2 linked regions of the Drosophila melanogaster genome follow. The protein of the gene in region 1 interacts with the protein of each later gene in a pairwise test. Each region holds a gene or a part of one and is shown in the gene's direction. Other genes may lie near its edges.

Region 1 (4,552 bases):
TGTGCGTCTTGATGTGATTGATCAAGGTGCTCTGCTGGCGAAAGTCCTTGGCGCAGATGTTGCAGGTGAACGGCTTTTCTCCGGTGTGGATTTTCACGTGGTTGGTTAGCGTCGAGATCTGGCGGAAGGCCTTGTCGCAGTGTTTGCACTTGTAGGGCCGCTCGTCCGTGTGGATCTTCATGTGGTTGCGTAACGTGGTCAGCTGCCGGAACTTGTTCTTGCACACGTGGCACTGTTTCTTCTTGCGCGGATCGTCCACCACCACCTCCTCCTCGCTAATCACGCTCTGCACCTCCTGTTTCATAGGAGAAATGGGCGTGTGGCTGCCCCCGCCTCCTCCGCCACTGTTCGCTGTTGTAGTGGATATGTCCAGCAAATGGACCAGCGGGTGCTGTGGATGGAGCATGGCTTGGTGGGTAGGGTGCTGGATGGCCTGCACGGCGGTGAGTTGATGCAGCGCAAAGGGACTCTGTTGCAGGCTGGCCAGTGTGGTGGGCTGCTGCTGTCCCGAGTTGGGACCCGGTCCAGATCCACCATTACTCCCTCCTCCACCGCCACCGCCACCTCCTCCTCCGCCGCCACCGCCATGGGAGGCTGGCAGTTGGTAGTGCTGATAGTTGGCCATGGCTGCCGTGGCGGCTGTCGCATGGTTCAGATGCATGATATTCGAGAGATATGATCCTAGCGTGGATCTACAGTCTGCCCATCGGCGGCGTTACACAATGGCGGCCACCGACGACCCTCGGCCATTCCCCGCCCCCGCAGTTGCTTCCACTGCGCCGCTCCTTTTGGGGCCTTTTTTGATTTGTTATTTCAGTCGTCTGGTTTGCACTTCTGTGTACTTTTGCTGCGCTGCTGCTGCTTCTTCTTCTTCTCTTCTTCAACACGCTGCTTACGCTTCCACGTAGCGATTGGGAGGGCCTGAATCCGCGGCCACTTTGTCGCGCACTTCCCCACGATCAGTTTCCACCGTTTTCGCTCGCTTTTGGGGCGCTTTCTCCGCCGTTTCTGCAGTTTTTCCAGGCCACGCTCTTTTTGTATCCGTATCCTTATCAAAACAAAAATGACTGGCGTGGTTTTCCAGGGCTGAGCGAACGGGCAGAGCTGCACCCCCGCCGAACATCGAGTAATCGACTATCGGCCGGCCAGGGCTGGTGGCGCTAGAGAGCCTAACACTGGGTGGGTCGATAACAGCTATCGATTATTTGGACACTCCGTGCTGACAATTCAGCTGATTTTAACCTTTCAATTAGTTTATATTCAGATATCAACAAAGTGTAATTGTTATTTTATCTATACTCGATTTTGTAACTTTGCGCCCTTCTTAGCTTTAGTTATTCTATTATTCGGTTCCTTTTTGTTTAATGAGTCATAATATGTTCTAACCGTTACAAACACATATTTATTTGCGACCCTTAATAAATCGCTGTTAAATAAAAATCTTTCATTGATAGGCTACTTAAAGTAATTATAATATTTTGGTTTGCTCGCACAAATTTGATTTTAAAATCTAAATCAATAAGCAATGAAATTAAAATTCTAGCTTTTTAATAGCTGTTAGAGATAACTTATTCGTTAGCCTAAACCTATCGATAGTTGTCAGAACTTGTTTTGCTTTTTACGTTAAAACAAAACGCAACATAAACAATTGGGAGAATTCATCACACTATCCTCAGATTTACATACTTTCACCGGAAGGTGAATCTGTTTACCATGGGCGACATCGAAGTAAAGAAGGAGGAACAACCGACGACGCCCTCCAATTCCTCGTCCAGTGACGACGACGAGGAGGCCCCAGGCTAGTCTAAATAGTTAGGTCTTTACTGTCACTCATTAATTGAATTGAATTCTAGACGACACAATGGATAAGGTTCGACGCTTCTTTGCAAACACTCTACATCTCGGCGGCTCCTCGGACGCAAAGGAGGAAGTTAAAGTAGAGAAGGTGAGCGGAGCACCCGATAATTTGATTATCATATTGATTAAATCGCAAATTTGCAGGTTATTCCAGATTTGAGTTTTGACGGCTTTGCCGAACATTGGCGTGTGCATGGTTTCCGCAAGATTGTGACCATGGTGGGAGCCGGCATATCTACATGTTGGTACATTCTATATACCATTGTAAAAACTTACTAAGTTATCGCCATTCCTAGCTGCTGGCATTCCGGATTTCAGATCCCCAGGTTCCGGGTTATACAGCAATCTGAAGAAGTACGAGCTGCCACATCCTACGGCCATATTCGATCTGGACTACTTCGAAAAGAATCCAGCGCCGTTTTTTGCACTGGCCAAGGAACTTTACCCTGGATCCTTCATTCCCACGCCGGCCCACTACTTTATCCGTTTGCTTAACGACAAGGGACTACTGCAGCGCCACTACACCCAGAACATAGACACGCTAGACCGGCTTACTGGCCTGCCCGAGGACAAGATCATTGAGGCCCATGGCAGCTTCCACACCAACCACTGCATTAAGTGCCGCAAGGAGTACGACATGGACTGGATGAAGGCGGAGATCTTCGCCGATCGTCTGCCCAAATGCCAAAAGTGCCAAGGCGTTGTTAAACCAGACATTGTTTTCTTTGGCGAAAACTTGCCAAAGAGATTTTACTCCAGTCCTGAAGAGGATTTCCAGGATTGCGATCTGCTGATCATCATGGGCACATCGTTGGAAGTGCAACCGTTTGCTTCACTGGTGTGGAGACCAGGACCACGTTGCATTCGCCTCTTGATCAATCGCGATGCAGTGGGTCAGGCCAGCTGTGTGCTCTTTATGGATCCCAACACGCGATCGCTACTCTTCGATAAGCCCAATAACACTAGGGATGTGGCCTTTCTGGGCGACTGTGATGCTGGCGTAATGGCTCTGGCCAAAGCCTTGGGCTGGGACCAAGAGCTGCAGCAGCTAATTACAAGTGAAAGGAAGAAACTGAGCGGCAGCCAGAATAGTGAGGAGCTGCAACAAGGCAAAGAGAAACCGCAATCGGACCCGGATAAGATGACTTCGGGCGATAGGGACAAGAAGGATGCTTCGCTTTAGACCCTAAGATTAGTTAGTAACATCCGTAGTTAATTTGTAGTTGAATTGTGCAATTTGTTTACATGTGGATTACGTGTATAAAGCGGACAATGCCAAGCGCAGGCATTGCTGGCTAATACCGCGAGCTTTCTTTCTCCTCCGTTTCCGGCATTCAATTATTCAAGTGCCATTTGTGAGCCATTAGCGTGTCCCTTTTGGCCGGGCCACCATAAACCGCAAAAACTGATTGAGTTGCTCTGCCGTTTCCGGCGCACAAAAAGCAGCAAACCGCCAACAAAGGTTAACTCTCGACATGTTTCTGTTTCGTTTTCTGCTCTGATCCGGGCTTGGCTATGGATTTCGATGCTGGTGTTGGTGTTGGTGCTGATGCTGATTTCGATTCAGTTACAGCTGCCCAGCCCCTCGACATGGCTCGACCGCTGCTGTGGGCGTGGCATGTGGCATTCTAACTGCCTGTTTGTGTGGCTTACACGGATGCTGCTCCTGCTCCTGCTCCTCCTCCTGCTGCTGCTGCTACTGCTGCATCAACTTAATGACTCGCAATCTGTCCTGCAGAAGCACACACGCACAAAGCGAAAGAGACACACACGGTAGACCGGTAATGAAGCTTCTGCGGTGAATTGGCCAATAGAAAATACGTACGGGCAGGACTAATTAAAACCAAGCTCGCAATCGGGCCAGCGGATAGCTACTGCCGGGGTACACAACCGGATATTGTTAATCGTTGACAGGGGCGACGGTTCGGAGGTGGATGCATGGTATGATGGGAGGCATCCCAGCCTGTCAACTTCGGGACATGAATGGCTGCAGATGCATTAGGAAATCAAATGCAGCCACGGAAATATTGATAGCCACGCAATTTGTTGCAGTTTCAGCTGCCACTGCTGTTGCCATTGGAATTGCACTTGCTTTTGGCCCAAAACTTTTGCAATTAAAGCTAATGGCCTAAGATCTTGTCTATGTGCAATTTTCCCGAGTCTTGCCTTCTCAGCGAATGTTTTGCTGCACAAATAAAAATTATTTGTGTTCGCATGAAAAAGTTAAATAAATATCGATTAGCTCATCACGTTACGTTATTCAATACAAAGATTAGTTTGAAACATAAAAATAAATACGAAAAAGAAATATTCAGACTAACTGTTCACACATGAACACGAATATATTTAAAGACTTACAATTTTGGGCTCCGTTCATATCTTATGTAAATGAATCGAGAGCGATAAATTATATTTAGGATTTTGTTATCTAAGGCGACATGGGTGCATTGCTCAAAAACATGTAATTTAAGTGCACACTACATGAGTCAGTCACTTGAGATCTTTCCCCGCCTCCTAAAATAGTCCCTTAGTGGGAGACCACAGATAAGGTCCTCGCCGCTCAAGATAGGCAGATGTGCCCGAGCGTGGGACCTCGATAAGGCGGGGACTATTTACTTAGGCCTCTGCGTAGGCCATTTACTTTAAGATGCGATTCTCATGTCACCTATTTAAACCGAAGATATTTCCAAATAAA
Region 2 (4,719 bases), on another chromosome or scaffold:
CTGCACCGTCGCATGGCAGTGCGCCGATGCCGAGAAGTTGCCCTTCCCGGACGCTAGCTTTACGGCCTACACTATTGCCTTTGGCATCAGGAACTGCACACATGTGGATAAGGTAGGCGGATCATGAAATGTACTCTTTGTACTTATTTCTCCCTTCCATCTAAGGTTCTTTCTGAAGCGTATCGAGTGCTGCAGCCGGGCGGACGATTCATGTGCCTGGAGTTCAGTCATCTGACGAACGAAACGATGCAATGGCTATATGACCAGTACTCCTTCCAGGTGATTCCGCCCATGGGCCAATTGCTGGCTGGTCAGTGGCAGGCGTACCAGTATCTCGTTGAGAGCATCCGACGGTTTCCCAAGCAGGAGCAATTCAAGCAAATGATCGAGCAGGCCGGATTCGATCAGGTGTCCTACGAGAACCTAACCTTCGGCGTGGTCAGCATTCACTCCGGCTTCAAACTGTGACAGCCGAGGATGATATTTGTTGTAAGCGATTAGGAAATCCTAAGACCATTTGATGGGGCTTAACTATAATCTATATTGTTGGTTTTTTGCGTTTTTTCATGCTGCTCACGTCGGGCAGGTCATAAAGCATCGAATTAAACAAGCTCCTCTGGCGGCTTTTATTTCTGTATGTTTACATTTTGAGGTTTATGTAGCTCTTTGTCAAATATATGTACTTCATGTGCCAAAAGGCAAACCCAAACGGCAAACTGATGACATCTCCGGCGGCAAGGCCTGGGAAAGACCTTGAGGATTGTGTGCCAGACCCACTTAGATGCAAAGGGCGATATGGTGGTAGCCCAATAACCGAACTGTACCAGATGCCAGGTGTAAGGCACTGTAATCGATTTAAATTCCACACACCCAACGGGTCGTTTCCAAAAAAAAGTGAAAATCTCCATGTAGGCTAATCGAAAGTCCATTTACGGCGATGGGATGTGATATAATGCAGAAACTATCCACTTATCTATTGACTTCAGTTCGCCATCAGATGTAGTGCAGGTGAAATTTATGCGTGTGAATGTTGAATTTTAACGAAATTCAAATAATAGCATTGAAATGCCATCAAAATAATTGACCGTGCCATGCTTAATAGGTAATTGCTAATTGGTGCTTTGCAATTGTGCGCTTTTGCTTTTATTACAATGGCTTTATTATGCTTTCACCCGGCGACTGATTAACACGGATTGGACACCCGAATAGCCGCCCATATTATTGGCCGGATTATGTAAGCGGAGACACATTTGATTTGTATCTAAATTGCAGCCAAATCATAAACCTTCGGACCTTCCATCTCCGGCAATCGAAAGTGAAAAGAGTCCGGCGATAAAAAACAAAAAAAACTGAGCACAAAAAGCATGCGGAACATGCAGGCCATTGAAAGCAAAAGTTTGGTGCGTGCGGCAACGTGCTGCGCATGCGTAGGTGGATTCCGGCCAATGGGACAGTGGAGCGGGGCCAGGCAATCAGTGGGACTAGTGGGCAAAGTTGTTGGCAAACTATATAGAGTTTTAGCCTTTTAGATTTTTATGATAATAATCTCGATATCTGAATAAGAAGTAAACTTAGATATGAAGTGTAGTAGGAATATTCCATACTTGAGGAATATACATACCATATATATGCGCACAATCTACGGTACCACAGTGCGTGGTCAGGTGGCGCAGCATAATGAGGCGCTGCTCAGTGGTCAGTGGTCAGTGGGTGAGGGGTCTTCGATTGCGGCAGGTGAAATGGCAGCGTAAAAGTCATAAACTGCCCAATCCATGCCGTATGCCATGCCGATGAGCCGCTGACGGTGGTGCATTGCTAGCACCACCAGTGCCACCGATTGGTATGCACAGTGGGTATGTGCCACTCCACTGTGCCGCGATGTCCGCTTTATAAATACAACAGCGACCAAGGAAGTTCATTTCATTTTCTTGTCGGCGATCGCAGCAAACGGATTAAACGCGAGGCGAGGCGATATATTACATAGTGTCCAAATATACGCATATAGAAATCAAGTCCACTGAATCGAAATGAATCTCTTGGCCAGTTCGAGGAGCCTCCATCTTCTGATGGTCTTGGCTGTCATCTTGGTTTCTCATCGAGCTGAGGCGGGCTTACGTTTGCGTCACACCAGTCGATCGGTCACGCCCCCCGCCAGCACAACGCCCACTTTGACAGTGACCTCCGAGGATGCCCCGCTACAAGAGGAATCGGTGGCGGAGAGTGCCCCAACGGCCAGTGTGGTTACCGAACCGGAAACGGAAGTGGAGGTCACGACCGGAAAGCACAAGCGTGGCATTCTACACGGCCACGCCCACCTGCACGGCCAATGGCCCGCCCGCACCTATGCCGCCCACTACGGCTATAGCCTGCAGCTGCCAGGAGGCAGTGCCTTCCTGGCCGCCGCTCCTCCGCGCCGCCACTTCGTCAAATACGGCCATGGTCTGGTCAAGCCGCTCGTTTCCGGTTCCGGTTTGCTGCCCGCCTTAGCTCCCGCACCCGCTGCCCTGCTGCCCGCCGTCGCCTCAGCCCTGCCCGTTGGATTGCCCACCGGTCTGCCCGGTGGCGTGGCCAGTGCCATTCCCGCCGGAGTCGCTACTGCCTTGTCCACCGGCGTGGCCACCGCTTTGTCCACCGCCGTGGCTCCGCCCTCGTACGTCCTGCGTCCCGGAAATGCGGTCGTCTCCTCGTACAGCGTCAACTATCCGCACCAGCACCTGCAGAAGCCCGTGGTCTTTCAGTCCGCCGTAAAGCCTGTCCACTTCCATGCTCCGGCTCATGGCCATGTGCATGCCGTGCAGGTGAGTTAGCTACATAGGAAACTTGTGGAATATCCCGTTGACCATTTCATTCTTTTCTGTTGCAGCCCACTTATGTGCAGACCTATGCTCCGACTGCTCCGGCAGTGCCTGTTCAGCCCGTGCAGCCAGTGCAGCCAGTTCATCATCTCCAGCCCATTCAGCCCCTTCAACCGGTGCAACCGGTGACCACCCATCTGCAGCCAGTTAGCCCAATCCAACCGGTTCAGCCCCTTCAACCGGTTCAACCCATCCAACCTACAGTGACCTTCGGTGTTCCGTCTCCCCCAGCTGTGGATTTGCCGGTGATCCCTCAGTTCCCACAACCGCCTCAGTTCCCCGGTGTGCCGACCTTTAGCTTCCAGCCCGCTCAGCCAGCGGTGCCAGCCCAACCCGCTGTGCCCGCCCAGCCGGCAGTTCCAGCTGCACCAGAAGCCCCAGAAGTGCCACAGGTTCCCGCCATTCCACAGATTCCGGCCATACCGCAGATACCCCAAATACCACAATTTCCCGGATTCCCTCAATTTCCCGGCTTTCCCCAGATTCCCCAGTTCCCCCAGGCGCCAGCCATTCCATCACCTCCCTCCGTTCCAGGAGTTCCAGCTGTACCCACGGTCCCGGCCTTCCCCAGTCCACCAACTAGCCAATTCTTTCCGGCTGCTCCACAGCCACCATTGCCGCAGCAGCCACCCACTTTTGGCCAACCAGAGTCGCAATTCCCCGGCGGAATTGTACCGCTGCCGGGCTCCACTCCCGTCCGCCCTGAATCCGGCACGGGTATAGCCTCGCCGCAGATTCCCCCACAATCACCCGAGCCGGAGACGCCGTCGGAGGTGCCACCACAGCGGCCATCCGTCCAGCAGCCCTGGAAGCCGGTATTCTATAGTCCACCCACCGAATCCGCGCCAGCGTCGCCGAATCGACCCTCGATCACCCTGCTCCCGCCATACGGAAGTGCGCCAGCTGAAGGTGAGCTCAGATGACGTTATGGATATATATTATTATGCTATATTTCAAACGAATATTTTCCAGGTTACCTGCCACCCGTGGGATCCCAACCGTCGGCCCTGAGTGCCAGTAGTGCCGGAATCGGTGGTCAGGGCGGCATCTTTGACCAGCTGACCGATGCCGAGCTGGAGCACATTTTCGCCCAGGCCAACTTGGCGCAGCAGCAGCACCAGCAGCAGCAGCAGCAGCAGCAACAGCAGCAACAGGGCCACAACTACCACCACTACTGAGTCCACCACTCACTCCACCTAGGGATCTTTTCAAATTTTTTTTTGTTTTTTTTTTTTAAGCCTTCGTTCATTTGTGCTCTACTTGTATTGTAAATTATGTTGCTATTAAATAAGTTATTTATCGAAAAATTGAACAGATCGTTTATTTATTGCGTAATAATAATAAATATAATAAATAATTTAAATAACTAATTCTATTGCAAAGTATATGCGAGATATAGACATAATATCTTAGTTTATTTCCTTTTGGCACATACATATTATCTATTTGAATTTCATTAGGAAATTCCCTTTGGCTCGGCGCATTTTCATTTCCTGAGCTTTTCCGGCGCGCGCTTTTCCCCCAAAGGGCTTTTCACCTTGAACTTGGCGTTCGTTGGTTTCTTTGGAGCTTTTCCCGTTCAGCTTTTCATTCATAAATTGCCAGCCGGCGCGCTGAATGAGTGCGTTGTGTGCTTGGTTGGGTGAAAAGTGGGCGGTTGGGCGGTCGGCTGGGCGGCGCCAGTGGGCGGGGCACCTGGAAAGGCCGCATGCCACATGTTGCAGGCATTCGCTCGCCTTTTTTTCAGCTCAGTTGTTTGTTATCGTTGGCGGCGAACGCGCGTCTGCTGCGGACCAAAAATCGACTATATTCCGACTATATACCGCGCATATATATTTTTGGATCCACCGATCCGCGATCTTAC

What was found. The genes of interacting proteins can lie anywhere in the genome.
Region 2: the proteins of Sirt2 (region 1) and CG12723 interact in a two-hybrid assay, tested with the Drosophila melanogaster proteins (one large-scale study listed by BioGRID).

The regions. Positions count from the first base shown.
Region 1 is NT_033777.3:20,326,876-20,331,427, forward strand, and holds Sirt2 (sirtuin 2), read left to right. Parts: upstream 1-1,589; 5' UTR 1,590-1,713; coding exon 1,714-1,798; intron 1,799-1,853; coding exon 1,854-1,945; intron 1,946-2,001; coding exon 2,002-2,098; intron 2,099-2,153; coding exon 2,154-3,040; 3' UTR 3,041-4,040; downstream 4,041-4,552. Other genes in the region: CG4360 (uncharacterized protein), read right to left, coding at 1-661.
Region 2 is NC_004354.4:13,189,081-13,193,799, reverse strand, and holds CG12723 (uncharacterized protein), read left to right. Parts: upstream 1-1,916; 5' UTR 1,917-2,027; coding exon 2,028-2,798; intron 2,799-2,863; coding exon 2,864-3,764; intron 3,765-3,827; coding exon 3,828-4,033; 3' UTR 4,034-4,157; downstream 4,158-4,719. Other genes in the region: Coq5 (coenzyme Q5), read left to right, coding at 1-112, 166-468.